Astyanax mexicanus: one gene and its partner. The protein of the gene in region 2 binds, or shares a complex with, the protein of the main gene of each other region. Links are inferred from orthologs where the notes say so. Each region holds a gene or a part of one and is shown on either strand. Other genes may lie near its edges. The genes, in order: pde6gb and gnat1.

The links.
Region 1: the proteins of gnat1 (region 2) and pde6gb are in contact, whole or in part, in a cryo-EM structure (PDB 7JSN), measured with the Bos taurus proteins. The link is inferred for Astyanax mexicanus from reciprocal best matches to the Homo sapiens genes GNAT1 and PDE6G. Residues at the interface, in NP_851365.1 of Bos taurus: Ser140, Arg201, Arg204, Lys205, Trp207, Ile208, Phe211, Asp227, Val229, Glu235, Val236, Asn237, His240, Glu241, His244, Leu245, Ser248, Ile249, Ile281, Phe283, Glu305, Leu306, Met308; in NP_776846.1 of Bos taurus: Arg36, Gln37, Phe38, Lys39, Ser40, Lys41, Pro42, Pro43, Lys45, Leu60, Val66, Ile67, Cys68, Pro69, Trp70, Glu71, Phe73, Asn74, His75, Leu76, Glu77, Leu78.

The regions. Positions count from the first base shown.
Region 1 is NC_064422.1:46,538,199-46,553,925, forward strand, and holds the start of pde6gb (phosphodiesterase 6G, cGMP-specific, rod, gamma, paralog b), read left to right. Parts: upstream 1-7,896; 5' UTR 7,897-8,012; intron 8,013-12,620; exon of another isoform or gene 12,621-12,712; intron 12,713-13,524; 5' UTR 13,525-13,567; coding exon 13,568-13,761; intron 13,762-14,973; coding exon 14,974-15,014; intron 15,015-15,727.
Region 2 is NC_064412.1:3,451,924-3,467,817, reverse strand, and holds the start of gnat1 (guanine nucleotide-binding protein G(t) subunit alpha-1), read left to right. Parts: upstream 1-10,248; 5' UTR 10,249-10,362; coding exon 10,363-10,468; intron 10,469-13,117; coding exon 13,118-13,160; intron 13,161-14,838; coding exon 14,839-14,980; intron 14,981-15,894. Other genes in the region: mst1ra (macrophage-stimulating protein receptor), read right to left, coding at 1-139. UniProt on the Homo sapiens protein: Functions as a signal transducer for the rod photoreceptor RHO. Required for normal RHO-mediated light perception by the retina.

The DNA of each region.
Region 1 (15,727 bases), on a different chromosome or scaffold from region 2:
GCGGTTGCTAAGGTGTTGCTATGGTATCCGTGGGGGTTGCTATGGTGTTGCTAAGTGGTTGCTAAGGTGTTGCTAGGTGGTTGCTAAGGTGTTGCTATGGTATCCAGAGTGGTTGCTAAGGTGTTGCTAGGTGGTTGCTAGTGTGTTGCTAGGCGGTTGCTAAGGTGTTGCTATGGTATCCGGGGTGGTTGCTAAGGTGTTGCTAGGTGGTTGCTATGGTGTTGCTAGGTGGTTGCTAAGGTGTTGCTATGGTATCCGGGGTGGTTGCTAAGGTGTTGCTAGGTGGTTGCTAGGTGGTTGCTAAGGTGTTGCTTGGCGGTTGCTAAGGTGTTGCTATGGTATCCGGGGTGGTTGCTAAGGTGTTGCTAGATGGTTGCTAGGTGGTTGCTAGGGTGTTGCTAGGTGGTTGCTATGGTATCCGGGGTGGTTGCTAAGGTGTTGCTAGGTGGTTGCTAGGCGGTTGCTAAGGTGTTGCTATGGTATCCGGGGTGGTTGCTAAGGTGTTGCTAGGTGGTTGCTATGGTGTTGCTAGGTGGTTGCTAAGGTGTTGCTATGGTATCCGGGGTGGTTGCTAAGGTGTTGCTAGGTGGTTGCTAAGGTGTTGCTTGGCGGTTGCTAAGGTGTTGCTATGGTATCCGGGGTGGTTGCTAAGGTGTTGCTAGATGGTTGCTAGGTGGTTGCTAGGGTGTTGCTAGGTGGTTGCTATGGTATCCGGGGTGGTTGCTAAGGTGTTGCTAGGTGGTTGCTAGGCGGTTGCTAAGGTGTTGCTATGGTATCCGGGGTGGTTGCTAAGGTGTTGCTAGGGTGTTGCTAGGTGGTTGCTAAGGTGTTGCTATGGTATCCGGGGTGGTTGCTAAGGTGTTGTTAGGTGGTTGCTAGGTGGTTGCTAGGGTGTTGCTAGGCGGTTGCTAAGGTGTTGCTATGGTATCCGGGGTGGTTGCTAAGGTGTTGCTAGGTGGTTGCTAGGGTGTTGCTAGGCGGTTGCTAAGGTGTTGCTATGGTATCCGGGGTGGTTGCTAAGGTGTTGCTAGGTGGTTGCTAGGGTGTTGCTAAGGTATCCGGGGTGGTTGCTAAGGTGTTGCTAGGTGGTTGCTAGGTGGTTGCTAAGGTGTTGCTAGGTGGTTGCTAAGGTGTTGCTATGGTATCCGGGGTGGTTGCTATGGTGTTGTTAAGTGGTTGGTAGGTCATTCCTAAACAGTTGCTAGGTGGTTGCTAAGGTGTTGCTATGGTATCTGTGGTGGTTGCTATGGTGTTTCTAGGTGGTTGCTAGGTGATGTATATGCATAAATTAGATTAAATGGTGTTTGCACGTTGCTACGCAACGTGCAAATACATCAATCAGCTATGCACGCTAGGTTGCTTTGGCCGTTCGGGGGTGTCCAAACTTTTGACCCGCGGCTCAATAAGGTGTTGCTAGGTGGTTGCTAGGTGGTTGCTAAGGTGTTGCTAGGTGGTTGCTAAGGTTTTGCTATTGTATCCGGGGTGGTTGCTATGGTGTTGCTAAGTGGTTGGTAGGTCACTCCTAAGCAGTTGCTAGGTGGTTGCTAAGGTGTTGCTATGGTATCTGTGGTGGTTGCTATGGTGTTTCTAGGTGGTTGCTAGGTGATGTATATGCATAAATTAGATTAAATGGTGTTTGCACGTTGCTACGCAACGTGCAAATACATCAATCAGCTATGCACGCTAGGTTGCTTTGGCCGTTCGGGGGTGTCCAAACTTTTGACCCGCGGCTCAATAAGGTGTTGCTAGGTGGTTGCTAGGTGGTTGCTAAGGTGTTGCTAGGTGGTTGCTAAGGTTTTGCTATTGTATCCGGGGTGGTTGCTATGGTGTTGCTAAGTGGTTGGTAGGTCACTCCTAAGCAGTTGCTAGGTGGTTGCTAAGGTGTTGCTATGGTATCTGTGGTGGTTGCTATGGTGTTTCTAGGTGGTTGCTAGGTGATGTATATGCATAAATTAGATTAAATGGTGTTTGCACGTTGCTACGCAACGTGCAAATACATCAATCAGCTATGCACGCTAGGTTGCTTTGGCCGTTCGGGGGTGTCCAAACTTTTGACCCGCGGCTCAATAAGGTGTTGCTAGGTGGTTGCTAAGGTGTTGCTAGGTGGTTGCTAAGGTGTTGCTATTGTATCCGGGGTGGTTGCTATGGTGTTGCTAAGTGGTTGGTAGGTCACTCCTAAGCAGTTGCTAGGTGGTTGCTAAGGTGTTGCTATGGTATCTGTGGTGGTTGCTATGGTGTTTCTAGGTGGTTGCTAGGTGATGTATATGCATAAATTAGATTAAATGGTGTTTGCACGTTGCTACGCAACGTGCAAATACATCAATCAGCTATGCACGCTAGGTTGCTTTGGCCGTTCGGGGGTGTCCAAACTTTTGACCCGTGGCTCCATTACACACAGTACTCGGGGGCCGGGGTGTCCAAACTTTTGACCCGTGGCTCCATTACACACAGTACTGGGGCTCTGGGGTGTCCAAACTTTTGACCTAATGCTGTTTTATCCCATAGCTGCTCCATTACACACAGTACTGGAGTTCTAGCTACCTGTCCTTCGATCTAGCTGCCGTCCTCCGATTGGCCCCATTCATTCCAATGGGGCCACTTCGTACGACAATCGTACGAAATCCGTACGTCGTAACTTTTCGTAACGCATATTTTCGGAAAGAGCTCAATAAGTTCTACAGGTCCTCAATTGGTTTCATCTTCGTATCTCAAAAATTGCGACGTCCACGGGCGTGCAAAGTTCTGCCCATTCATTTTCAATGGGCAAAAAAACGCGTACTTACGAAGTTTTTACGAAAAACGTAAGTCCAATCGGAAAGCTGTATACAAGCCCACCATTCCCGATATGGACGCACGTTTTCTCTTTTGAACGAAGTCGATATTTCGAAAACTGCGGCACTAGTTAACCGGACAAAAAACAGGTGGAACTAGATTGCAGTTCCTACAGAAACTGCGAGTGTGATTGCAGAGCTGACCGGGGTACCCAAACTTTTGACCCTTGGCTCCATTACACACAGTACTGGGGCTCTGGGGTGTCCAAACTTTTGACCCGTGGCTCCATTACACAGTACTGGGGCTCTGGGGTGTCCAAACTTTTGACCCGTGACTCCATTACACACAGTACTGGGGCTCTGGGGTGTCCAAACTTTTGACCCGTGGCTCCATTACACACAGTACTGGGGCTCTGGGGTGTCCAAACTTTTGACCCGTGGCTCCATTACACACAGTACTGGGGCACTGGGGTGTCCAAACTTTTGACCCGTGGCTCCATTACACACAGTACTGGGGCTCTGGGGTGTCCAAACTTTTGACCCGTGGCTCCATTACACACAGTACTGGGGGGCTGGGGTGTCCAAACTTTTGACCCGTGGCTCCATTACACACAGTACTGGGGGGCCGGGGTGTCCAAACTTTTGACCTAATGCTGTTTTATCCCATAGCTGCTCCATTACACACAGTGCTGGAGTTCTAGCTACCTGTCCTTCGATCTAGCTGCCGGCCTCCGATTTGCCCCATTCATTCCAATGGGGCCACTTCGTACGACAATCGTACGAAATCCGTACGTCGTAACTTTTCGTAACGCATATTTTCGGAAAGAGCTCAATAAGTTCTACAGGTCCTCAATTGGTTTCATCTTCGTATTTCAAAAATTGCGACGTCCACGGGCGTGCAAAGTTCTGCCCATTCATTTTCAATGGGCAAAAAAACGCGTACTTACGAAGTTTTTACGAAAAACGTAAGTCCGATCGGAAAGCTGTATACAAGCCCACCATTCCCGATATGGACGCACGTTTTCTATTTTGAACGAAGTCGATATTTCGAAAACTGCGGCACTAGTTAACCGGACAAAAAACAGGTGGAATAATAATAATAACTAGATTGCAGTTCCTACAGAAACTGCGAGTGTGATTGCAGTGCTGGCTGGTATCTGCTATGGTGTTGCTAAGGTGTTGCTATGGTATCCGGGGTGGTTGCTAAGGTGTTGCTAGGTGGTTGCTAAGGTGTTGCTAGGCGGTTGCTAAGGTGTTGCTATGGTATCCGGGGTGGTTGCTAAGGTGTTGCTAGGTGGTTGCTAGGTGGTTGCTAGGTGGTTGCTAGGGTGTTGCTAGGTGGTTGCTAAGGTGTTGCTATGGTATCCGGGGTGGTTGCTAAGGTGTTGCTAGGTGGTTGCTAGGGTGTTGCTAGGCGGTTGCTAAGGTGTTGCTATGGTATCCGGGGTGGTTGCTAAGGTGTTGCTAGGTGGTTGCTAGGTGGTTGCTAGGGTGTTGCTAGGCGGTTGCTAAGGTGTTGCTATGGTATCCGGGGTGGTTGCTAAGGTGTTGCTAGGTGGTTGCTAGGTGGTTGCTAGGGTGTTGCTAGGCGGTTGCTAAGGTGTTGCTATAGTATCCGGGGTGGTTGCTAAGGTGTTGCTAGGTGGTTGCTAGGGTGTTGCTAGGCGGTTGCTAAGGTGTTGCTATGGTATCCGGGGTGGTTGCTAAGGTGTTGCTAGGTGGTTGCTAGGTGGTTGCTAGGGTGTTGCTAGGCGGTTGCTAAGGTGTTGCTATGGTATCCGGGGTGGTTGCTAAGGTGTTGCTAGGTGGTTGCTAGGTGGTTGCTAGGCGGTTGCTAAGGTGTTGCTATGGTATCCGGGGTGGTTGCTAAGGTGTTGCTAGGTGGTTGCTAGGTGGTTGCTAGGGTGTTGCTAGGTGGTTGCTAAGGTGTTGCTATGGTATCCGGGGTGGTTGCTAAGGTGTTGCTAGGTGGTTGCTAGGTGGTTGCTAGGGTGTTGCTAGGCGGTTGCTAAGGTGTTGCTATGGTATCCGGGGTGGTTGCTAAGGTGTTGCTAGGTGGTTGCTAGGTGGTTGCTAGGGTGTTGCTAGGCGGTTGCTAGGCGGTTGCTAAGGTGTTGCTATGTGATCCGGGAAGGTTGCTAAGGTGTTGCTAGGTGGTTGCTAGGTGGTTGCTAGGGTGTTGCTAGGCGGTTGCTAAGGTGTTGCTATGGTATCCGGGGTGGTTGCTAAGGTGTTGCTAGGTGGTTGCTAGGTGGTTGCTAGGGTGTTGCTAGGCGGTTGCTAAGGTGTTGCTATGGTATCCGGGGTGGTTGCTAAGGTGTTGCTAGGTGGTTGCTAGGTGGTTGCTAGGGTGTTGCTAGGCGGTTGCTAAGGTGTTGCTATGGTATCCGGGGTGGTTGCTAAGGTGTTGCTAGGTGGTTGCTAGGTGGTTGCTAGGGTGTTGCTAGGCGGTTGCTAAGGTGTTGCTATGGTATCTGGGGTGGTTGCTAAGGTGTTGCTAGGTGGTTGCTAGGTGGTTGCTAGGGTGTTGCTATGGTATCCGGGGTGGTTGCTAAGGTGTTGCTAGGTAGTTGCTAGGTGGTTGCTAAGGTGTTGCTAGGCGGTTGCTAAGGTGTTGCTATGGTATCCGGGGTGGTTGCTAAGGTGTTGCTAGGTGGTTGCTAGGTGGTTGCTAGGTGGTTGCTAGGCGGTTGCTAGGCGGTTGCTAAGGTGTTGCTATGTGATCCGGGAAGGTTGCTAAGGTGTTGCTAGGTGGTTGCTAGGTGGTTGCTAGGGTGTTGCTAGGCGGTTGCTAAGGTGTTGCTAGGCGGTTGCTAAGGTGTTGCTATGGTATCTGGGTTGGTTGCTAAGGTGTTGCTAGGTGGTTACTAGGTGGTTGCTAAGGTGTTGCTAGGCGGTTGCTAAGGTGTTGCTACGCGGTTGCTAAGGTGTTGCTATGGTATTTGCGGTGGTTGCTAAGGTGTTGCTAGGTGGTTGCTAGGTGGTTGCTAAGGTGTTGCTAGGCGGTTGCTAAGGTGTTGCTATGGTATCCGGGGTGGTTGCTAAGGTGTTGCTAGGTGGTTGCTAGGTGGTTGCTAAGGTGTTGCTAGGCGGTTGCTAAGGTGTTGCTATGGTATCCGGGGTGGTTGCTAAGGTGTTGCTAGGTGGTTGCTAGGTGATGTATATGCATAAATTAGATTAAATGGTGTTTGCACGTTGCTACGCAACGTGCAAATACATCAATCAGCTATGCATGCTAGGTTGCTCTGGCCGTTCGGGGGTGTCCAAACTTTTGACCCGTGGCTCCATTACACACAGTACTGGGGGGGCCGGGGTGTCCAAACTTTTGAGCCGTGGCTCCATTACACACAGTACTGGGGGGCCGGGGTGTCCAAACTTTTGACCTAATGCTGTTTTATCCCATAGCTGCTCCATTACACACAGTACTGGAGTTCTAGCTACCTGTCCTTCGATCTAGCTGCCGTCCTCCGATTGGCCCCATTCATTACAATGGGGCCACTTCGTACGACAATCGTACGAAATCCGTACGTCGTAACTTTTCGTAACGCATATTTTCGGAAAGAGCTCAATAAGTTCTACAGGTCCTCAATTGGTTTCATCTTCGTATTTCAAAAATTGCGACGTCCACAGGCGTGCAAAGTTCTGCCCATTCATTTTCAATGGGCAAAAAAACGGGTACTTACGAAGTTTTTACGAAAAACGTAAGTCCGATCGGAAAGCTGTATACAAGCCCACCATTCCCGATAAGGACGCACGTTTTCTCTTTTGGACGAAGTCGATATTTCGAAAACTGCGGCACTAGTTAACCGGACAAAAAACAGGTGGAATAATAATAATAAGAAGAAGAAGAATAAGACTTAAGAAGAACAATACTGTGATTGCATTACTGCAATCACACTAATAAGAATAAGACTTAAGAAGAACAATACTGTGATTGCATTACTGCAATCACACTAATAATAATAATAAGAAGAAGAAGAATAAGACTTAAGAAGAACAATACTGTGATTGCATTACTGCAATCACACTAATAATAATAATAAGAAGAAGAAGAAGAATAAGACTTAAGAAGAACAATACTGTGATTGCATTACTGCAATCACACTAATAAGACTTAAGAAGAACAATACTGTGATTGCATTACTGCAATCACACTAATTATATAGAGTAAACTTTACCCAGCTAACAAGGAATATTTTAAAGACAGTTAGCAATGTTGTAGCAAAAGTTGCAGGAAGGTTCACCTATAATGTTACAGAAATAATGAGTGATAATGGTTTGCATCACAATGTTATTACAAAACTTTCTTACATGATGTTCCCGGCTGGACGAATACTAACATTATACAAAAACAAATAAGAGGGGTTTTACAACTTATGATCAGTTTCTCTGATTTTACTATTTATAGGTTTATGTTTGAGTAAAATGAACATTGTTGTTTTATTCTATAAACTACAGACAACATTTCTCCCAAATTACAAATAAAAATATTCTCATTTAGAGCATTTATTTACAGAAAATGAGAAATGACTGAAATAACAAAAAAGATGCAGAGCTTTCAGACCTCAAATAATACAAAGAAATCAAGTTCATATTCATTTAGAAACAACAATACTAATGTTTTAATATAATCAAGAGGAAGATGGATGATCACAAACCATCAAACCACCAAACTGAACTGCTTGAATTTTTACACCAGGAGTAAAGCAGCATAAAGTTATCCAAAAGCAGTGTGTAAGACTGGTGGAGGAGAACATGATGCAGAGATGCATGAAAAAAAACTGTGATTAAAAGCCACCAGGGTTATTCCACCAAATATTGATTATTTCTGAACTCTTAAAACTTTATGAATATGAACTTGTTTTCTTTGCATTATTTGAGGTCTATTAAGTTTGATATCTAAACCAAATTTACACTATAGAAATAATAAACAGTGAAATATAGGGGGTGGGTAGTTACATGCTGCGTCATCAAAAAATAAAATACATATTTATTAATAAAAATGTACACACACACACACACAACACACTCACATGTCCATCCTCCGCACTGATAGGGGATCAGGGGTGGGCGGTTCCCCTCTCCTAATCTGCGGTTCTGCTGAGGGTATAAAAGCTCCATCAGTACCAGAACTTCTCCCAGAGCAAGCCCAGCATACACGCCCACTCCTCCACCCACCAGAGAGACCTACACACGGGCAGCGCCCACACCACGCCACCTAACCACCAATCAGCTGGAGCCGTGAGTACAACCCCACCCACTACATCCAACAATTACTATACTGAATAATAACTACTGATATAAAACATATATATACAAATAAGGAATAGTAGGTTAAATGTAACAACTATATGAACAATTTAATAATACTCAGGACTGTATAATGCAAAATGATAAAGTAAAATTTTAAATTTATACAGCTCTGAAAAAAAAAAACTTAAAATTTGATTTTACCAAATTAAAAACCTCTGGAATATAATCAAGAGGAAGATGGATGATCACAAACCATCAAACCACCAAACTGAACTGCTTGAATTTTTACACCAGGAGTAAAGCAGCATAAAGTTATCCAAAAGCAGTGTGTAAGACTGGTGGAGGAGATTTTTTTTAGGTCTGCAAGCTCTGCAACGTCTCTGAAAGCCATTTCTCATTTTCTGTAAATAAATGCTCTAAATGAGAATATTTTTATTTGTAATTTGGGAGAAATGTTGTCTGTAGTTTATAGAATAAAACAACAATGTTCATTTTACTCAAATATAAACCTATAAATAGCAAAATCAGAGAAACTGATTCAGAAACTGAAGTGATCTTTTAATTTTCTTCCAGAGCTGTATATTGAGTATTAAGTCAGACATTCTATGGAATGTGAATCAATAAACAGAATTCTGGAACTCTAAATAAGTTTCTAGCAATCTACGAAATAATGAACTAAAATTATGTGGTAGCAAGTAAAACTCTAGAATGTTTTGTAATATGGAATAAAACAGAATTCTAGAACTCATGACATTTTGACATATGGAATAATTGGCAAAATTCTAAAATATTGACAAATAAACAGAATTCTAACTAAAATGGTAGCAAATAGGATTCTAGGATTTCTGGAATACAGAATAATAAGTGAAACAGTACACAGGACTGTAAAGTAAAATTTAAAAATGTAATTTTAAAATGCAGTAGTATGTTATTTACTGTTCACTTTGAGGCTGACTGTCGAAAATAGTTAGTATTTAGAGTGTTCTGAACAAGGCTCTGTTATTTTTTTGTAATATGGATAGTAAGTATTTGTAGAACACAGAATACAGAGTACAGAGTACAGAATGGTGAGTATGTTGTAGCATGGTGTGGCGTATACAGTAGTGGGTGATTTACTGTTCACTTTGAGGTTGACTGTTGAGAATTTTACTATATTATTATTTAGAGTGTTCTGAACACTGTTAAAGTACTATGTTCTGAACATAGTGAGTATTTTGTAGAGCGTTGTGAAGTGTAGAGTATAGATTAGTGAGTATTTTGTAATATAGTGTTGAGTATACAGTGGTGGTATAGTGAAGGTCTCGACCAAATGGAAAATGAGATAATTATAGATGGATCAGTGAGTCACGGAGCTCTGCAGATCCACGTGGATGAGGGGATTTCAGCAGATTGAAGAGTTTGGGTTCTGCTGAAGTCACTGTCAGAACCAGAACACAAATCACACTGATTAAGAACCATAACCATTTATCTGGAAAAATGGTTATGAAAAATCGTTTCCTTTACCCAGTTACGTTATTTTTTGAGAATAATATATAAAAAATGTTTTTATCTGTCTTGGAACAAATCTTTGTCTCTAAAATAACAGCTTTACAGATTTCCTCCCTGAGTGGGGATTAAATACTGTAATTAATGGTGGCAGCGTGCCAACACGCCCATCCCTGCAGCGTAGAATATATATCTACAAACAGAGTAAACAGAGTGGCCTCTAAGTTTTGACAGTATTTCATATATTAGAATTTCAGAATTTCACAGAGCAATTTATTTACATTAATCTGCATTAAAAGCAAAGTAATCAAAGTACTCCAGTAATTTCCACATGCACTGTGCAATTACACAATCTTTTCACTGAGAGCTCTAATTACTCAAATCTGTTACTCTAAGTCATTTTTGAGCATTTCTATTTTTCCAAAACATTCACACCATGCCAAAAAGTGAAAAACTGAGAAAAAATGATTTTTTTTGCATGGCAAGATGGAAAAAAAAGAGTAAAAATACATGTTTATAGTTTATAGTTTTAGAGTTGATGAAATGCTGGCTTAGGTAACGTAGGCCTAGGCCTCATATTAAGCCTTAAATGACACTTGAATGTTATGTGCTTCGTTATATTTCAATTACATTTAATTACATTACATTTCTACACAGCATCCAATGAATTTAAAAATTAAAATTAAAATAATGCCATACATTAAAGCCATAAATATATTTAAGATACAATCAATTTATTGTCATGTTGAGTGACATTGATTACTTTGCTAATTCGCCAATGACACACAAGCTATTAGGCTAAACCAAAAGTAGAAAAATGATACAGCATAAGTTAAGACTAAAGAAAAAAAATAATCTATAATCTATATATTTATGTTTAAAAGGAACTCTAGGCATTGAAAAAAATATTTAAAAAGTGTGGCTGTGTGTTCATCATTGTAAGATACTGTATGGAATATTAAATATAAAACAGAATTCTAGAAAAAACTCTGAAAAAGTAAATATGGTTCTAGAAATCGGAAAATAGAATAATTGAACAGATTTCTGGAACTATGGAATAAGAAATAAAAATTCTGGAACTCTTTGTAATATGAAATAACCAACAGTATTAAAGTTAAACTCTAATGAATAGTTAGTAAATTGGTATATTAGTGTATATTCTGTACTGAGCCGTACTGAGTGCTGGATTGTGTGATTGTCATTGAAGCAGCTCTGTTAAGGACGTTTGTTTTTGACTCAGAAGTTTTCTGTGAGCTCAGCATGTTCACTGTTGTCCTTTCACTAATGAGATTATCACGAGTCCCTTTCACCAGCTCTGGGATACGGGTTCACTTATTAACTTGAGCCCTGGATTATATAAACTGGGTCACCCCTGGCATCCATCCACCCCCCCCCCCCACTCCCCCCTCACACACACACCTCCACTAAAACACTGCTATACACCTGTGTTACTCACCTGTAAGAGGATTATGGGTAACGCTCCGCTGAACTGAGGCCATGGAGAAACAGCTTACAGGCCATATGGTACCAGTGTGATGCTAATTTTAGTTTAGCATGGCTCTGAAAACTTATTCACTTTATATTTAAATGTATCTCATAATATCCCATAATAATCCATAATACATCACAAGTTAAAGCAGCAGGTCTTACAAGGAGGGTTAGGTAATCTATATATCCTCAATAACTGTATATAAACACAGAAAGCTACAGCAGGTTAGATAATCTATATATCCTCCAAAACTGTCTATGAACACAGAAAGATACAGCAGATTAGATTATCTGTATATCCTCCATAACTGTCTATAAACACAGAAAGGTGCAGCGGGTTAGATAATCTATATATCCTCTATAACTGTATATAAACACAAAAAGCTACAGCGGGTTAGACAACCTATATATCCTAAATAACTTTATATAAACACAGAAAGCTACAGCATGTTAGATAATGTATATATCCTAAATAACTTTATATAAACATAGAAAGATACAGCAGGATAGATAATCTATATATCCTAAATAAATGTTTATAAACCAGGCTTTTATGCTTTTTTATTCTAGTAATATTAACCTCTAGTCTTTTAGTTTAGCGCTCTTATGCTAGTGGGTGGTTACCTCAGCGTGCTAACTCTAAGCTAGTCTTTTATCTTAGCGGTCGTATGCTAGTGGTGGTTACCTCAGCGTGCTAATGCTAAGCTAGTCTTTTATTTTAGCGGTCGTATGCTAGTGGTGAGTTACCTCAGCGTGCTAACTCTAAGATAGTCTTTTAGCTTAGCAGTCGTATGCTAGTGGTGGTTACCTCAGCGTGCTTATGCTAAGCTAGTCTTTTTTAGCTGGTGTGTTTCAGGTGGTAAACAGTCCGTCTGTGTGGGTGAGGGGAATGTAACTGAGGAGAAAAGTATTATTTCTTCAGTTTATTAGCGTAGAGTTTAATAATGAACTTTAACTTGGTGTTTATTGTGGTTTTGCTCTGTTAGCTACACTGCTAACGCTAGCTACACTGCACTGGGAGAGAGAATGGCTGATGAGGAGAAACTTCCTTACCTACAAAACTAATTACTACCTAAATACACTATTTATACATTACATTTATATAAATATCTGGAGATATTTAGTTAACAATTTTGTGAGTTTGGTGTAGGAGTAACAGGTATGTCCATAGCTAGAACTCTTTGCAATATGGAATCATCAACAGAATTAAAGTTAAACTCTTTGGAATAGTCAGTAAATTGGTTTATAAGTGTATGTCTCGTACTGAGTTGTATAGCTAGTTTAGCGTTATTTGGTAAAATCTTACACAGATTAAGTTGTTTCTTTTGCTGAAGAGTTGTATTTTTATAAACTATATGTTCAGCTACTAAATGAAACCACAACTGAAAGTATAATATACATAATACATTTTTTAAATGTTGAAAATTTTGATTAATTTTTTTAAATTGTGATAGAGTCAGTAATTGAATGCAGTAAGAAGAAAGTTATATTTTTTCAATGAAAAAAGATTATATTTCTGGTAATTTTACAGAATTTCTTTAGACTGTGTAAGGGACAGTTTGAGTGTTCAAATTATGTAGAAAACAAAAAATTGTCAAAAACGGAGGTACTTGTGTTTCATTGGACAGCAATGATATAAACACTGGAGAGGAGAACCTGAGTGTGGAACATCCATCGGTATCGGGCCTCAGAGGAAGGCAAAAAGATGGAACTAGGTTAGATTGGATTTATGGAGAACAGATAATATCCAACATTATCAGAGTGTTACTAATGAATATAACAGTGTAACGCGGGAACCAGACGAGGGGCGGACGTAAATGCGGGTAAGACCAGACAAATAACAAAGAAACAAATAAACAAACAGGGGAATAACGGATATAAATAGGTGCATAAACAAACAGGGAAAAAACGTGAAACAGATAATAACAAAACAGGGCGAGGAAATATATACAAGGGATAAATACGTAAATATATACAACATAAACAAAGAAACAAACAGGAACTAAACGTGACTAGAAATAACGTGACCGATAACCAAACAAGAAAACAAACTAGAAATATACAGGGAATAAACGGAGATAAATACAAAACGAAGAACTAGAGAACGTGGAAATAACTATAGCGAACGTGGCAAGACAAACAACGGGGGAAGGTGCAAAGACCGACAGCAAACGTAGACTAACAAGTACTATTTATACTAAACATGAAACAATGAACACCTGGGGAAACAGGTAACGAGGGGCGGAGCTACAAATTAGAAACACATGTGGAAAAGTACTGAGACGGGAGACACAGGGGAGCACAGGTCACGTGGGGAATGCACACAGAGACACGAGACGAGGCCAAGACGTGACAAACAGCCTAACTAAAATATGAGAACCAGAAGGTAACATAGACACGGAGGCACTGGCCAGCAAGCTACTGTACATTTAACAGTGATATTTTTTTATAGTGTATAATTTTGTATAATGTTTTTTTCTGTCACATTTTAACCCAATCACCTGTCTCTCTCTCTTTTTCTAAACAGATTTCTACATTAGCCAGAGGTTAAACTCAACCAATCAACAAAAATGACTGGTGACACCGAACACATACCACCCCCCATCCCAGTGGCAGCTCTGAATGTAGAGCAGCCCAAATCAGACATCAAATCTGCCACCCGCGTCTCGGGCGGCCCGGCTACGCCACGCAAAGGCCCGCCCAAATTCAAGCAGAGGCAGACCCGACAGTTCAAGAGCAAGCCCCCCAAAAAGGGCATCCAGGGGTGAGTACACCAACCCATCATCTCCACACAAACAAAATAAGTGCTAGAGCTACTGGAATATGTAATTAATGAGTGACGCTATAGAAGGTGAAGTTAGTTGAAGTACCATTCAATTCACAAGTTCTGTGAACAACCTTTTGCTTGTCTATTATTGAGCAATAGCAATAGATGATAATGTAAAACACAAATATGCCCATTATACATATTATTACAGCAACAGAAAAATAATAGATGTAATCACGCTATGCCAATTTTGATTGTAGTGAGGAAAAAATCAACTAATCTATTATTATGATTTAAAAAGTAGAAGCCTGTTGCAAAAATGTTTTTATATAGTCAATAATATCTGACCATATATTAATGGCTAAAAGTTCTCAAAAGTCTAGTGCATGATCATAATCATCATGAATTGCAATTGACACAGTTAAACCAAAATATAGTTTTCTTTGCATCTGTAAAATTCACTAATTTAAAAAGAACCGATAGAGGTTAATTTATAGCACTAAATAATGTAGTATACCAATAGAACTTGAACTTCTGAATGTAAAACTGTGCCTGGAGGGTAAAAACTGTCCCAAAACTGTGAATGGGTTCATTGCACTTAAAGAGTAATGAACCTTTGATAATGAAAATTATTTAATACATTGGAATTGTAATGTAAAAGTGTTTAAATATCCTACACTAATAAAACATACACATACAAAAAATAAAGTATAAAAAAATAAGTTTCGTCACTATATGCTTTTAAAGATGGTCCTGTGCGAAACCCAACCTGATTGTGCCATCTCTACCAATCAGCAGAGATATGTTAGGCTAATAAAGTCTTATAGAGAGTGTTATGTCTTAATACAGTAGGGCTTTTTACATCTTATAGTAATTAGTCTTTTAAAAATATACCAATTCTATTTACTGAAGCCTAAATAAATAAACAACCAAAAAACAACTTAAAATAAAATCTACCATTGCTTCTTCCTTGATAAGGATGTTAAGGGTTTTTAGTGAACCATTCACTTTTCGTAATTTTCATACCTTTGAAAGTCACTATAAAAACAGAATATTATTAGATTTTTTTTTATTATTAGCATTTCTCTAAAGAACTCTTTTGGTCATTGTTATATTAAAACACGTGTATAAAGTATGTTAGGGTTAAGTAAAGACTGTTGTATATATTTGGACTCATGTCCTGATCTGTTCTTCTGTTTGTCCCCTCAGTTTTGGAGACGATATCCCGGGAATGGAAGGTTTAGGCACTGGTGAGTGTGATCCTTTCTTTTTTCCTTCATCATCATCATCATCATCATCATCATCTTCTCTCACGTGTGGTTTAGTATCATCTCTATTAGCGTCATCCAGAATTTATTCTTAGCTGTCCTTGGGTAGTATTACCGCTTATTGTCACAGCTTGTCATAAACGTTACCGCTCAGATTAAACCGGCTTGGCAAGCAGCTTAACCCAACCAGCACAAGGCTCTTCAGCAGGAGTGCCCATCAGTAATCAAATTTAGACCAAGTCTAAACCAAAAAGTGCAAAAACTTTGGTCTTGGAGGTACAAAATGGTATATATAAGATAAATTACACGTCTTACAAGTCTGTCAACTTTTGGACACAGCTTCTCATACAATGTTTTTATTTTATTTGTTTCCTACACAGTAAATGAACAGTGAAGTGATCTATCAGATTATGAAGGAGCACATAATGAATCATGTAGTAACTTAAAAACAGTGTTAAACAAACTAAAATACTCTGTGAAGTATTTAGATACTCTTATCTGGGGAGCTGTTTGTTAACTTGTGTTTTTTGAGGCTGGTAACTCTGACTTTAATGCTCCTGATGAGTGCCGGTTTCTTCATTATTATAATGTTTTTGATGATCTATGGGGTGACTGCACTTAAGGATACTTTCAAAAGTTCTTGAAACTCTTCTTTTTGGATTGACTGACATTCATTTCACTACTTTACTTCAACT
Region 2 (15,894 bases):
TTTGGAAATATGGCAATGAATACTCAACATTAAAATCCACAGCCCTCCGCTGGGCTACTACAGGACATGTTTCCAGGGCGAAGGTCACGTGGATCTGGATCCAGACGCATGCTAGCAATGTCCGTGCTACGAATAGCATTTCCGTGTCTGCTGTCCTCAGAGCAGCCGAAGGAAAAAAGACGATTTACTGCTCCTCAAAGCATGCTGATCATCACACAGATCTAAAAAAAAAACAAAGAAATAAAGCAGAAAGGAGAGATGAGTTTCATAAACAAGCATCATTACCATAAAACAGGAAATAGTAGAAGGATATCGAATAAAACACACTCAAAAGTGTCATGATTCCAGAATACAATTTGGTTCCATAGGAGACATTAGTGCTTGTCAAAAAATGAGAATTTCATTGGAAAGTTATAAAACTTTATTTCAGTAATTTAGTTTAAAATGTGGTTAACACTTTACTTGGATGGTCCATTTTATGGCCTTGTTGATGCTCAACTGACATTCAACTAACATTCAACTGAATCTATATTAAATGCAACTTAAACTATGTTGAATGTAAAGGATTTAAAATAGAACATAACCCTACACTTAACCCTAACCTTAACCCTTAATCAACCCTAAAATCATTAATCAACCACAAAATTACAAAATTACAAAATGTGAAACTCCTATATTATTTAGATGTATTACACACAGAGTGATCTATTTTAAGTGTTTATTTATTTTATTGTTGATGATTATGGCTTACAGCCAATAAAAAAAATCTGTATTTTAGAAAATTAGAATAATATATAAGACCAAATGATACTTTTGTCAGTGTGGGCAGAGTGCCAAGTCCTGCTGGAAAATGAAATCCATAATCCATCTCCATAAAAGTTTCAAAAGTTGTCAGTAGCAGAGGGAAGCATGACGTGCTGTAAAAAATTGTGGGAAAACAAAACTGCACTGACTTTAGACTTGATAATAAAACACAGTGGATCAACACCAGCAGATACACTAGTATATGTAAGTGTGAAAAACCTGTACATCAAATGGAGGTTCTTCCATTGCATTTCCTTAAGAATCTGCTGTATCACCATTATTTTAAAGAGTGCACTGGAATGTAGAGTATTTTTGAATTTAGATTTTTATATATATATATACATACATATATTATTTATTTTTTTTAATTCAGTGTTTTGTCATATTGCCAAGAGTATCGTTATCGCAGAAATATCGCCCACCCCTATTTGATATACTAACCAGGATTCAGGTATTATAAAGTTACTCTCAGCAGCAACAGAAACTAATTCACACTTTCTACATATTTTACACTGAAACCAGGGAGTTACCCAAAACACAGAATAGAGGTGACCCCCACCCAAGTGAAGATAGCCTGAGGGGGGATACTAACATTCAATGGAGCGTGAAGTGGGTTAGACACGCCTAGTATTCATATGGATCAGGCCAGGAGCCAATAGGAAAGTTCTGAGATTTACTCAACTGTAGGTCGAGTACAGGTCACCGAAAGTCACTAAATCAACACAGCTGACGCAGATTTACTCAGGTAGACTTCTGAGAAACATTACTGCACAAACCTCAGGTTCCAGATATCAGCAAACGTTACAAGAACGTTTAGCAATGTTTAAAAAAAGGTTTCAGAAAAGTTACAGAAATAATGTTCCAGGAATATTCTTATAATAACTTGCGACTTAATATTAGTTTGCATAACAATGGTGGTCATTACAACATTTCTTACAAAACATTCCCAGCTACATCCAGTGTTGGGAAGGTTACTTTTAAAATGTAATCCCTTACAGATTACTGATTACATCACTCAAAATGTAATTTGTAACGTAATCAGTTACATTACTTCAAGTGAGTAACGTAATCTGATTACTTTGGATTACTTTAAATATTGTCATTTTTTTAAGCCTGAATGAATGTAGCAACCACATATTGCATATTATTATTTTATTTTTCTTTCCAGTTAACAAATAGATAAACAAATAAAACAGCCTTTTCAATCACTCTATAAAAATACTTATGAAACCATTTCATCAAACAATTTTATAAAACACTTCTATAAATTGATAAAACCATTTAAAACCAAACAATGTAACAACAACTGTAAGCTATCTATTTGCAGGTTTGCCTCCAGTGTTAATTTTGACAACAAATTTTGATTTAGTCTTAGTCATAGTCTTGTGACGAAAATAGTATTTAGTTTTAGTCACAATTTAGTCATCTGAAATGTTTTTAGTTTTAGTCGACTTAATGTCATAAGAATATAGTCGACTAAAATTACAGTAAATTTAGTCGACTAAAATGTAAAGGGTGTAAATGTAAATGATTTTTCATCAGTTTCCTTGAATTATTAACTATACACTTATATGAAATGAAACGTTTAATAACCACTTGAGTAATATTGTTAATGTTTGAAAGTGAAATATATTTATATATGATTTAATGTATATTATTATTATTATTGTAGGTGTGTGACTATACATATGTTACATTTAAAAATTTGCTCTAGAAATCAGGTCATAAAACAACTGAATAGTTAAATTAAAGTTTAAACAGAGCTGTAGATGCAAAAACAACTTTTAAAGGATCTAGTTTTATCTCCAGCACATCTACTGGAGCTACAGTCTATAAATGAGATCAAAACAAACATTCACACACTGTCCTGTAGAGATGCTCTCAGGATGTACTGAGAGACTTCATGAGTTAAAGTGAGAAACTTATGAGAAAGTGCTGTAAGGAACTTTACACAGACTTTTGGGTTCATAGATTCACTTATTTTATTGTTTTATTTTCGTTGTATTATTGAGTTCCTTTCTGACCTGCTGCTGCTTTAACACTAGCTATATCTTTCCCACTGTGAGACTAAACAGATGATCTGATCTTAATGAGTGAGTTCTGTATCAGTTCTGTGTTTTAGTGCACTGCTGAGTTAAACACCATCAGCTCATGAAATAACATCAGCATTAAAACGCGGATCTCTGCATGGAGATCTGTGTGACTCTGGTCTGCAGAAGCTGAAAGATTAGTGGTGTTTTTACCGGAGATGGAGTCTCTGTTTACACATTATCTTGTTTTTCGCGACGTCAAAGGAGAAATATATCGCCTCTCCCCTCTCTCTCTCTCTTCCTGCTGAACACTGTCGAGTTAACTTCCAGTCGAGCTCCGTAACGACAGGTTAATTCCCGGGTTTGTAACTGAGCGCGCGGCGCCTCCGCTAAAGTAGCAGTGATTGGATCTCTTCCTAACTGGTCCCTACCTTTCACAGAACTATATCAGTCTGATTGGATTTCGTCCCTGCCAAACATTTTCGTCTCGTTTTTATTCGTTGACCAAAATGTCAGTTAATTTCGTCTCGTTGTGTGTGCGGAGCCGCTGTCTGCCCCTCCTCCCTGTATGTGTGTGTGTGCAGCGAGACGGGAGGAGGGGCAGACAGTTCCCTGTCATATCAGAGCGATTTCACCCCAAAATGTTATTTGCGTTTTGTCAGTGTTGGATTGGAAGAGCAAAAATAGGAAAGTACCGCAATGTAACCCTTTTATTTTAGCAGAGTAACTGTAATCTGATTACCACTTACTGAAGCAGTAACTGTAACGGATTACAGTTACTCATAATTTGTAATCTGATTACGTAACGCCGTTACATGTAATCCGTTACTTCCCAACACTGGCTACATCAATACTAACATTATAGAAATATACTTAAAACTAAAAAAAAAACATTAACATTAGTGATGTTGCAGCTACATTGCCAGACTATTTAAAAATGTTAAATAAATATATACTAAGAATATCCAGAAAACTTGAGAAAATAAGAAATGGCTGAAATAACAAAAAAAGATGCAGAGCTTTCAGAACTCAAATAATGCAAAGAAAACAAGTTCATATTCATAAAGTTTTAAGAGTTCAGAAATCAATATTTGGTGGAATAAACCTGTTTTTTAATCACAGTTTTCATACATCTTGTCATCATGTTCTCCTCCACCAGTCTTACACACTGCTTTTGGATAACTTTATGCTGCTTTACTCCTGGTGCAAAAATTCAATCAGTTCAGTTTGGTTTGATGGTTTGTGATCATCAAAATGATATAATTACTATTTCTTAATTATTATTTAGTCAGTTGTAATTATTGTTTTTAAATTAATATAAGCATTAAAAAATGTAAAAATACATTTTAAAAGCTTTTGCAGATGAGTTGTAGATTTTAAAATAGAAAAGGGAAGTTGCAGAGTTTTACAGCTTTTGTCTACATGCTGTAAAACTAATTTTAGCTAGAAAAAACCTAAATCAATTGAGACAAAAACACTATGAAAAGAGTACATGAGTGCAAACAGTGTGGTGTTATATATCAAGTATTCATCTTAAAATTACAGAGATTCTTTTTTTATTTTAGATAGGTCAGTGTAGGTTTTTTTTTTAGTTCCTATACATAAATAAACCATACTATATAACTGTATGTTTAGTTTAACCACTTTTTTGCATCACTGAGGTTATCAAATTATTAAGATATAAGATCAGTAGGAAGCAAAAATCTGCAAAAATATATATTTTTGTGCTTCTTTGTTTTTTATTTTTATATTTAAAAATTATATAATTACTTGTTTCTTAATTATCATTTTAGTTCGTTTTAATTGTTTTTCAATTAATTTAAGCATTAAATATATTAAGCATTTCAAAAGGTTTTTGCAGATAAGTTGTAGATTTTTTCAAAATAAAGGAATTTATAATAGAAAAGGGAAGCTGAAGAGCAGAGTAAATTTAGCAGCAGTGACGGGGTTAATGCTGCTTTTGCCTACATGCTGTAAAACTAATATGAGTTAAGAATTGAGACAGCTAATGCAGTTTATTAACTCAATAATTTGATGATTGCAAACGATTACATATCAAGTGTTATGACAAAGCTGAGCACATTCATTCATACACATAAACTGTTTTTATCTTAAAATTACAGAGATTTTTATTTTTATTTTAAGTAGAACAGTAATTAAAAGTCATAGTTTTTTAATAGTCAATATATTTTTTTGTTCTTATACATAAATAAACCATGTTATTTAACTGTATGTTGGGTTTAACCACTTTTTTAACATAAGCAAACACAACATACAGTGTTTTTATCCTTAAAAAACAAGGAATCATGTTTTAGTACAGTTCAGAATGCGTGGGAAAAATCAGGATATTATCTTGGCTGCTCTCTGTAAGAGGAATAAATATGATGTATTGATTTTTCCACTAATGGATCTGAGGACGTTTTCATTACAGGACTCTGAGTGTCCACTTCCTGTAATCACTGCCAAGACCATTACATCAGAATTAAAACAACACAGAGCCCAGCTGTCCTTACACTGTAAAAACCTAATAAAAATAGTTTATTTCTATAATAAAGGTAAATATTAGCTGAGTATTACACCGGATATTAGCCTAGCTTTACCTGTACAGAGGCCTATATGTTGTTACCTGAACTGCAGGTTATGATCAACTGATTAACTTTAGATGGTTTAAATGCTTTAAAAAGGCGAGTAAATATATGTAAAGAAGATAAACTAGGCTAAAAACTAAAACTAAACTGTATTTTATCAGGTTTTTAACCTTCATATGAAGCGTAAACGACTTTAACACACTTTAAATAAAGGTAAAGCAGCTCAGGTGAGAGCATGCAGGTGAAAGAGCATGAAGTTTACCTGAGGAACACCTCTCTGACAGGAGCGTCGAGGTCTTTACTCACTAATTCCACCGCAGTCTTCAGTAAAACGCAGAGAAATCCTCCTGTTTCTGCGAGAAAAGCTCTGAAACTCGCTGAAACTCCGCGGTTCTGTTTCTTTAAGCCTCAGAAGCTCGAGCTCGGTTCTGGTCCACGCCTTGACTGATCTTCATGAGGAAGTGCTGCAGCTGATTGCACAACCTCAGCTCCAGCCCGGAGTCTCGCGCTGAGAAAAAATACTGATCTACACAATTACAGCTTTTAAAAACCACAGGAAATCACTTTACTGCACAACTGAGCTTCATTACCTGCGGTCCTCCCTCAGGTGTGATATAAACAGAAATAAAGTCACCAGTTAATTTTTTTTTACCTGACCGTTTGATGTGGAAGCCCATTCTTAAAATTATTATTTAGTAAACTGCTATCTCAATATTTTGAGAAGGTAAGTCATTATTTTTAGATAGTAAGTCATTATTTTGAGATACTATCTCAATATTAAAATAAAATAATTATTAATGAATTAATATATTATTAATTAATATATTTCTAGATTTTCAGACCTTTTTTATCTTGTAAAAAGTAGGTTAGATTATACCATCAGATTTTTATTACAAAATGCATAAATTGTAAAATCAGAAAACTAAATAGATTTTTTTTTTTTCATGTACAGTATATCTGATCGTGAGGAGCAGAAATTAAAAACTTAAAAATTGGCAAAATAATTGAAAACCCAAATTCATCTTTAATATAATTTTAATATAATACAATTATCTATTTTCAAAATAGAAAAATCTGCCCATCCCAATTTCAATTTCAGAAAAAATGAAAAAAAAAAATATATATATTTTAATTTTAATTTGTTATTTTTATTTATCTTGTTTTTTTGACCTTTCATTTTTTTTCTCTCAAAATGTTTTCTCTATTAATAATCAGATATTTTAGATTCTTAAAAGTAGCACCATTGCTTAGATAACACTTTTAAGTATTTAGGTTTGTTTAATTCTTTTAAGTTACTACATGATTCCGTATATGTGTTTATATATATATATATATATATATATATATATATATATATATATATATATATATATATATATATATATATATATATATATATAAAGATACAAGAGAGTAAAACTAAAAGGATAAACAAAGATATTAAACAGAGTATATGTACAATATGTATATTAATATACAGACACACACACCAATGCCTGTATTTATACACAAAGGTAGGCCATAATAAATAAGGGAAGGCTTTTTTCTTAATTTTTATTTTTAAAAAAATTCTGGGTTTTTTTCTTACAAAAAAGAAAAAAGTAGGTTGGATTATACCATCTGTATTTTGTTACAAGATGCAAAAAATAGAAATTCCAGCAGTTCTCTAGAAATTAGAAATATAAGCTGGGTATTACATCGGATATAAGTCTACCTTTAGAGACAGACGGAGGCCTACCTAAGCTGAGCTATATTAGCTACTATGATTTAAAAGGGCAAGTAAAGAAGATAAACTAGATATTTTTGCATGTTTTAAAACCTTTATATGTTTTTTTTTTTTACTTGTTTGTCTATTTAGTGCAGTAAATAATAAATAGCATTTTATCTGTTTTCCCATTGTCTTGTTTTTCATGTCTACTCCTTAGCTAAATAAAGAAAACATTTATTTTAAGAAATAAAATGAATGTCAAGCGCTACCACTATGATCGGGAGAATGCTGGTTCGAATCCCAGTCATGCAGCTTGCCATCAGCTGCTGGAGCCTGGAGAGAGAACAATTGGTCTTGCTCTCTCTGGGTGGGTACAGTAGATGGAGCTCTTTCTTTCCCCTCATCACTCCTAGGGTGATGTGGATCAGAACAAGGCTGCGTCTGTGAGCTGATGTATCAGAATCGAGTCGCTGCACTTTCCTCCGAGCGTTAGCGCTGTGATGCTACTCGGTAATGCTACATCATCAGCAGCAGTTCAAAAAGAGGCGGAGTCTGACTTCACATGTGGAACAACTGGCCAGATAAATTGTATTGTAATGTATTTTAAAAATGCATTTAGAAAGAAATGATGTTAAGTCGATCTGAAAAAAATTAAGAACTTTTTTTTATTCCGCCCCAGGAATGAAAGAGCAAGAGTTTCCTCTGTTGTACAGGATAAGTTAATCAGAGTTACCAGCCTCAGAAACCGCAAGTTAACAAGAGTATTTTGGTTTGTTTAACACTTTTAAGTTACTACATGCTTTCTTATGTGTTTCATCATAATATCTAAATCAATTTCACTATTAATTTACTATAAGAACGGTTCTGCAGTGTATTTGTAATTTCAGGCAGGAATGGAAACATAAGCGTCTCTGGTTTGAATCCAGATTATGTTAAAGATCTGAACACAGTTCTGCTCTTTCATGTATATGGATTAATGGAAGGCTGTAAACAGTGAAAAGGCATAATTCACACGTGGGCACGGCATTCAGGCACAGCCCTCACTGCCTCATGGAATAATTAATTCTTGTCTTATATCGTCACTGACGCACACTCTCACCAATCCGTGTCATTCCAAAACACACACACACACTCTCTCACACACATACACACACTTACACACAAACACACGATATCCGGTATGTGTCACTCCTTAGATTGAGGTCAGTAAGCTCTCCAAAGCAAAACTCCAAATCTTTTAAGAGCTTCGTATCACATGATGGATACAACACAAACTGTGCTAAACAGCAGCAGAGGAATATTTTACGCTGCAATTTTTTTAACCCTCCTATTATGTTTGGGGTCAATTTGACCCCAATCAAATGTTTTACACCTTTAAATAAGCAGTTAATATCATTTTGTCCACTTCAAATTCAGTGACTTTTCCTAATTTAATGGGGACAACTGGGTAAATATTAAATTAATGTGATGTAATGTGAATGTTTTGTGTGTGCTGAACACAGGCTGTTTTAGCTGTATAAAACATAGAAATATAGAAATATCAACATTTTACACACATTTGTGTTGAATAATGTTTGAACTTTAAACTTTAGAGGCCTAAAATAACATGATTATATCTGTATTAGTGCAAGAACCACTGAAAGTTCATTGCAACAGGGGGGCGGGGAAAACATAATTCTCACGAAAAGTTGATATTTCTGTATCTGTGGAGGAATATATTGTTCCTACAAACATATTGATAGTAGATTTTTTTTAAAAAAACATAAACTTGGGTAAAAGTGTTATTATTATATAATAATTTTCCGTAGTTTAAAATTGCTGGGGTCAAATTGACCCCAAACATAAAAGATGTTAGTAAATTTGAATGCAACAGGAGTGTTCAGGCAACAATTTTAGTATTTTTGACTTATCGCATTTTATATTAAAATGTGACCGAAATAACTCCATCAAAATTAGCTATACCTTGGTGGATGTTCATTCATAAGGGTTTCATTATACTTACGAGAGTTCACAGTATCCTGGGTGTAAAAAACGAATATAAAAAAAATAGTTTAAAAGGTTAAATGAATTGCTAACAAAGTCTAAAAAATGGGTTTTGTGTTGCATTGAGTGACCCTGCTTTTCTTACCTGGCATAACAGTGTGATTACATTTTTTGTGAGTGGGAGGGACTTGATGGGGTTTAAAGTGGGGGATTTTGGGAAGGAAGGAAGAAGGAGGAAGGAAAAGAGAACAAAAAAATACATTTTGGGCTGGATCCCTTTATTTGGTTTTGTACATTTGTTTAGTCTATTATTCCTGTGCTTTTATGCTTAATGTTGTTAACGCTTTTCTTTTTGTTATTCATTGGATTTGTCTTGTTTCTCTACCTTCCTGTTTTTTTTTCCTCTTCTCTAACTTTCTCAATAAAAATAAATTTGTGCTACATATATATATATATATGCTATTTATATATATACTAAAATATGCTATACTGCCCTTTTAATAGGATTACCATGACCAGACCAAGAAGTTTGGCATATCCAGTATACAGCTTTAAGTCAAGGGAACAGCCTAGTGCAAAATCCCAAATTTTAGCATTATAGTCATTATGGCCTTTAGTAAAATGTGTTTTGGGGAGGGGGGGGGGGGGGGGGGGGTAGTGCACTCTAGGACTCTGTGGGCGTGGCCTAAGCTTTTCTTTTTTTTAATGTATTTATTTTTTCTCTTTACATTACTTTTACTTTTATACTTTAAATAGTTTTGAAACCAGTACTTTTTTAAACACTTTTACTTAAAGAGTAAAAAGCTTGACTTGATACTTCTACAACTTCTACGGAAGTATTTTAAGTATTTTAAGTACCTTAGTATCTATACTTGCACTTGAATAATGAGATATAATAATGGCGCTCCTCACCAGGCCTCCTCATCTCTCTAAGGCTCGCCCTTTTAATGTGGCTGAGAGGACTCGCCTGAGATTAGACCCTTCTGCTGACCACAGCATCTTCTACCTAAATCTGAGGTCACCTGTGTCCCCTCCCGCCCAGTCGCCCTCCGTCCTTGTCCTTCATTGGTCACGCTAGCCCAGGTGGTCAACCGAAATCCCAAATCCTCCTAAGACTCGAAACAACTGGTTGACTCACCTTATCCAGTTGAAGCTAGAGCTGCTGCTGTGGTTCACGGTTCCTGGCCGGTGCTTGCGGCGATCGAGCGGTTTCAGTTCCAGGCTTCTTCACTCTTGATCCAGAGGTGATATGGGGGCTGGAGCGAGCGCCGAGGAGAAACACTCCAGGGAGCTGGAGAAGAAGCTCAAGGAGGACGCCGACAAAGATGCCAGGACCGTCAAGCTGCTGCTACTGGGTAAAAACACCATTGGGCCCACGATTGAGCCTTGAGTAACTCCGTAGATTTAAACATGAACAGGGCAAGAGCTTTAATCATGGGCGGATCTACCGGGGTGGCATAGGGGGGCAGCTGCCACCTAAAAAGGCTAAACACCCTAAAAGAAAGCCTTGCCACCCATGCTGCCACCTCAGAATTAAAAGATAAAAATATTTCATTATGGCCAGTTTAACCTTTTATGAGAGAGAATATCTAAAGCCAGACTGCAGTAAATTATAACGAAATAAATTAATTGTGAAAGCACGGTGCTAGTATAACTGCGATGCTGATTATTTTGAGCTTATAAAACATCTATAAAAATCTTATTTTGCTCACTATAACATGTATTGTTTGCTAAAGGTCAAGTGATGTCAGGTACTTAGTGACGCATTACTGTAATCTGTCCGTTTCTCCAGTAATGATAAATCTAACACATTAGTATGTCCAATCCAGTAATCAGATTAAAGTTACTTGTTTAAGAAAGTAACTGTGCATTAATATTTTTATAATTTTCCTCAGTACATTTCTCTGTTTGAGTTTGTAAATGGTAGCCCGTGGCCATATATATATATATATATATATATATATATATATATATATATATATATATATATATATGCCACCCCAGAAATATTTTTCTAGATCTGCCCCTGGCTCTAATGCAAAAATCATGCCTTTTTTGGAGTGTAGAATATTCATATTTCAAAGATTGAACATTTATGGTTTGCTGTTGGTCTTGGTTCTTGGTAACATCCTGATGAATTTGGATTAAATGTATATTGAATGAAGATCATGTTGAATGAACCACTGTTATAATAGTAGTATAGTGAAAGCAATCTTAACTGAAATTCTTAAATCCTTTGAATTCAATGTAAAAAAAAACTCTATTTTTGTTTGCATGTAAATATTAAGAAGAAGAAGAATCATCTGGCCAAACGTTTGATTGGTTTATATTGGTTCATTATAATATTAAATGAAGATTACCTAATTATAAGAAAACGTTTGTCTCCATCTCTCATAACTGCATTTTTAAACAGCTTGACTAAACTAGTCTTAGATCTGGGTCAGCGTCCTCGCATACATCAGCTTTAACAGGCTTAGGGGCTAAAGTAATGAACCCCAAGCCTCTTAATGCGATCCTCCTCAAGATATGCACACAGGACAGGAGGATGATTTCAGGAGAACATACCAAACATACTGGAGAGGGGAGGAGAGGAGCGGGTGGAGTGGAGGGGAATGGAATTCTCCACACTGGAAGAAAGCCAGCATTAGTGTAGATTTTGTTATGGGATTGTGTTATTCACAATTCTTAATCTAATTGAATGAATTTGCCAGTTTTAAATCAACAATAATAATCTTGATTTACAATTAACATGCATAATTTACCACTGACAAATGTTGTGTTGTGTCTTTACTGTTGGAATACTGAAAACAGATATCTTAACAGTGTAAAAGAAAGCATATAAAATGAAATAAAACAAAAAATTAGCTAATTTAGAAGCATGAAGAGCTGTTGGCTTGGCATTGTTTCTACATAAATGCTTTTTCAAGTCAAGTCAAGTATTTTTATTGTCAATACTGCATATATACAGGACATACAGAGAATTGAAATTACCTTACTCTCCTTCACAATGTTACAGCAAAAAAACCTAAAGCGATAGTATTTAAAATATATAAATAACATAAGAATTCAATAGACACTATTGCACAAATCACAAATATAGACATAGACGAGACAAGAGACACAAGAGACACAAGATAAACGTGCAAAAGTGATGGGGGGGATTAAAGAGGTAAAGACAGTACCAGTATAAACAGAACCCATATAAACATTAGTGCAAATATAGAGGTAATAAAGTTTTGTTAATATAGGTTAGCTGTAGCTAACCCTGGGACGTATAATTAAGAGCATTAAAAGTATGTTTAAATTAGGTGAAGAATACTAAAAGTACATTTTCTATGTAATATATTTTATGAAAATACACATTAAATATACTCTGTACATTAAATGTACTCTATTTCTCTGCATTTACATAAAATGTATCTTTATGCTATATACTTTAAGTTATATATGTGTTGATTGAAAATATATATGTAGTGGAGCTTATACTTATACTTGTCCCTGTGGTGGACTGTATGTGGATGAAACCTAAAAAAAAATATCAGTCCATTTAATTTTATTTCAATTAACTTAAATTGACAAATTTCCTTCATGATCTATATTTATATATTTATCCATCTATTCAAACATTTCAATCAGGGAATTTGTAATGATATATTTGGTACAGTGCTGCCACCTGCTGCCATAAAGAAATGGCATCGCTTATAAAATAAACATTAAATACTTGACACTAATTGAATCATGCTGAATTATTTATTAAATGTATTACATATATTAAGTTATACATTTACGTGACAATATCAAAACATATCTCAAGTTTTAAGTTACGAATGGCAAATACAGTATATATTTCAACTACATAACTACAGCCTAGCACACATACAGTGAGTATGAATTTTAGTAAATACAATAAAATACGCAATATGAATTTTTAAACTATATATTTGTGGGTTTGCAATTGAATAGAATTAATTGAACTTAATTGGTTTGTATAATCTATTTGTCAGGTGCTGGAGAGTCAGGAAAAAGCACCATTGTCAAACAGATGAAGTAAGTGTTATTTTATTCAACTTTAAACCTTTAATGTTTCAAGTAAAACTTTATTGGATGGTTGATTTTATGGCCTCGTTGATGCTCAAATGAATGTATATTAAATGCAACTTAACCCTACACCCACACCATTAACCAACCCTAAAATCTAACCCTACACCTAACTCTAACCATCAATCAACCCTAAAATTTAACCCTACACTTAACCCTAACCTTAACCCTTAATTCACCATAAAATCTAACCCTACACCTTACCCTAACCTTAACCCGTAATCAACCCTAAAATCTAACCCTACACCTAACCCTAACCTTAACCCTTAATCAACCCTAAAATCTAACCCTACACCTAACCCTAACCTTAACCCTTAATCAACCCTAAAATCTAACCCTACACCTAACTCTAACCATCAATCAACCCTAAAATTTAACCCTACACTTAACCCTAAACTTAACCCTTAATCAACCCTAAAATCAAACCCTACACCTAACCCTAACCTTAACCCTTAATCAACCCTAAAATCTAACCGTACACCTAACCCTAACCTTAACCTTAATCAACCCTAAAATCTAACCCTACACCTACACCTAACCCTAACCTTAACCCTTAATCAACCCTAAAATCAAACCCTACACCTAACCCTAACCTTAACCCTTAATCAACCCTAAAATATAACCCTACACCTAACCCTAACCTTAACCCTTAATCAACCCTGAAGTCTAACCCTACACTTAACCTTAACCTTAACCATCAATCAACCCTAAAATCTAACCCTGCACCTAACCCTAACCTTAACCCTTAATCAACCATAAAATCTAACCCTACACCTAACCCTAACCTTAACCCTTAATCAACCCTAAAGTCTAACCCTACACTTAACCTTAACCTTAACCATCAATCAACCCTAAAATCTAACCCTACACTTAACCTTAACCATCAATCAACCCTAAAATCTAACCCTACACCTAACCCTAACCTTTACCCTTAATCAACCCTAAAATCTAACCCTACACCTAACCCTAACCCTAACCCTTAATCAACCCTAAAGTCTAACCCTACACTTAACCTTAACCTTAACCATCAATCAACCCTAAAATCTAACCCTGCACCTAACCCTAACCTTAACCTTTAATCAACCCTAAAATCTAACCCTACACTTAACCCTAACCTTAACCTTTAATCAACCCTAAAATCTAACCCTACATCTTACCCTAACCTTAACCCTTAATCAACCCTAAAATCTAACCCTACATCTTACCCTAACCTTAACCCTTAATCAACCCTAAAATCTAACCCTACATCTTACCCTAACCTTAACCCTTAATCAACCCTAAAATCTAACCCTACACCTAACCCTAACCTTAACCCTTAATTCACCATAAAATCTAACCCTACACCTAACCCTAACCTAAACTTTAAATCTAACTCTAAACCCTAAAATCCCTAACTCTAAAATGTTAAGATTAGAGTTTGGGTTAAAGTTAGATGTTGGGTTTCATTTAATGGAGAATCATGTATTTTTACCTTTTAGTTCAATTGCATTTAATAGACATGCAGTTGAATGTTAGTTGAGCTTCAATGAGGCCATCCAATTGACCATCCAATAAAGTGTTACCATTATTTAAATAAATTACTGTATTAGCACCAGACATTTAATTTAAACATGTTTTTCTACCACAGAATTATCCACAAAGATGGTTACTCCCTAGAAGAGTGCTTGGAGTTCATTACCATCATCTACAGCAACACCCTGCAGTCTATTATGGCCATCGTGAAGGCCATGACTACTCTCAACATCGGCTACGGAGACGCCGCCCAACAGGTACTGATATAATAAGAGACCAATTAAAAATGATGAGTTTCTTTGATTTTACCAAATTGAAAAAAACTCTGGAATATAATCAAGAGGAAGATGGATGATCACAAACCATCAAACCACCAAACTGAACTGCTTGAATTTTTGCACCAGGAGTAAAGCAGCATAAAGTTATCCAAAAGCAGTGTGTAAGACTGGTGGAGGAGAACATGATGCCAAGATGCATAAAAACTGTGATTAAAAAACAGGGTTATTCCACTAAATATTGATTTCTGAACTCTTAAAACTTTAAGAATATGAACTTGCATTAACTTACACTCTTTGCATTATTTGAGGTCTGAAAACATCTTTTTTGGTATTTTAGCCATTTCTCATTTTCTGCAAATAAATGCTCTAAATGTTCATTTTACTTAAATATAAACCTATAAATAGCTAAATCAGAGAAACTGATTCAGAAACTGAAGTGATTATTTTTTCCAGAGCTCATTTTGAAGCAATGAATCAGTTTCTCTGATTTTGATATTTATAGTTTTATGTTTGAGTAAAATGAACATTGTTGTTTTATTCTATAAACTACAAACAACATTTCTCCCAAATTCCAAATAAAAATAATCTCATTTAGAGCATTTATTTGCAGAAAATGAGAAATGGCTGAAATAACAAAGAGAGTTCAGAAATCAATATTTGGTGGAATAACCCTGGTGGTTTTTAATCACAGTTTTTTTCATGCATTTTGGCATCATGTTCTCCTCCACCAGTCTTACACACTGCTTTTGGATAACTTTATGCCACTTTTATGCTCTGCATCTTTTTTTGTTATTTCAGTCATTTCTCCTTTTCTGCTATAAATAAATGCTCTAAATGACAGTATTTGTATGTGGAATTTGGGAGAAATGTTGTCTGTAGTTTACAGAATAAAA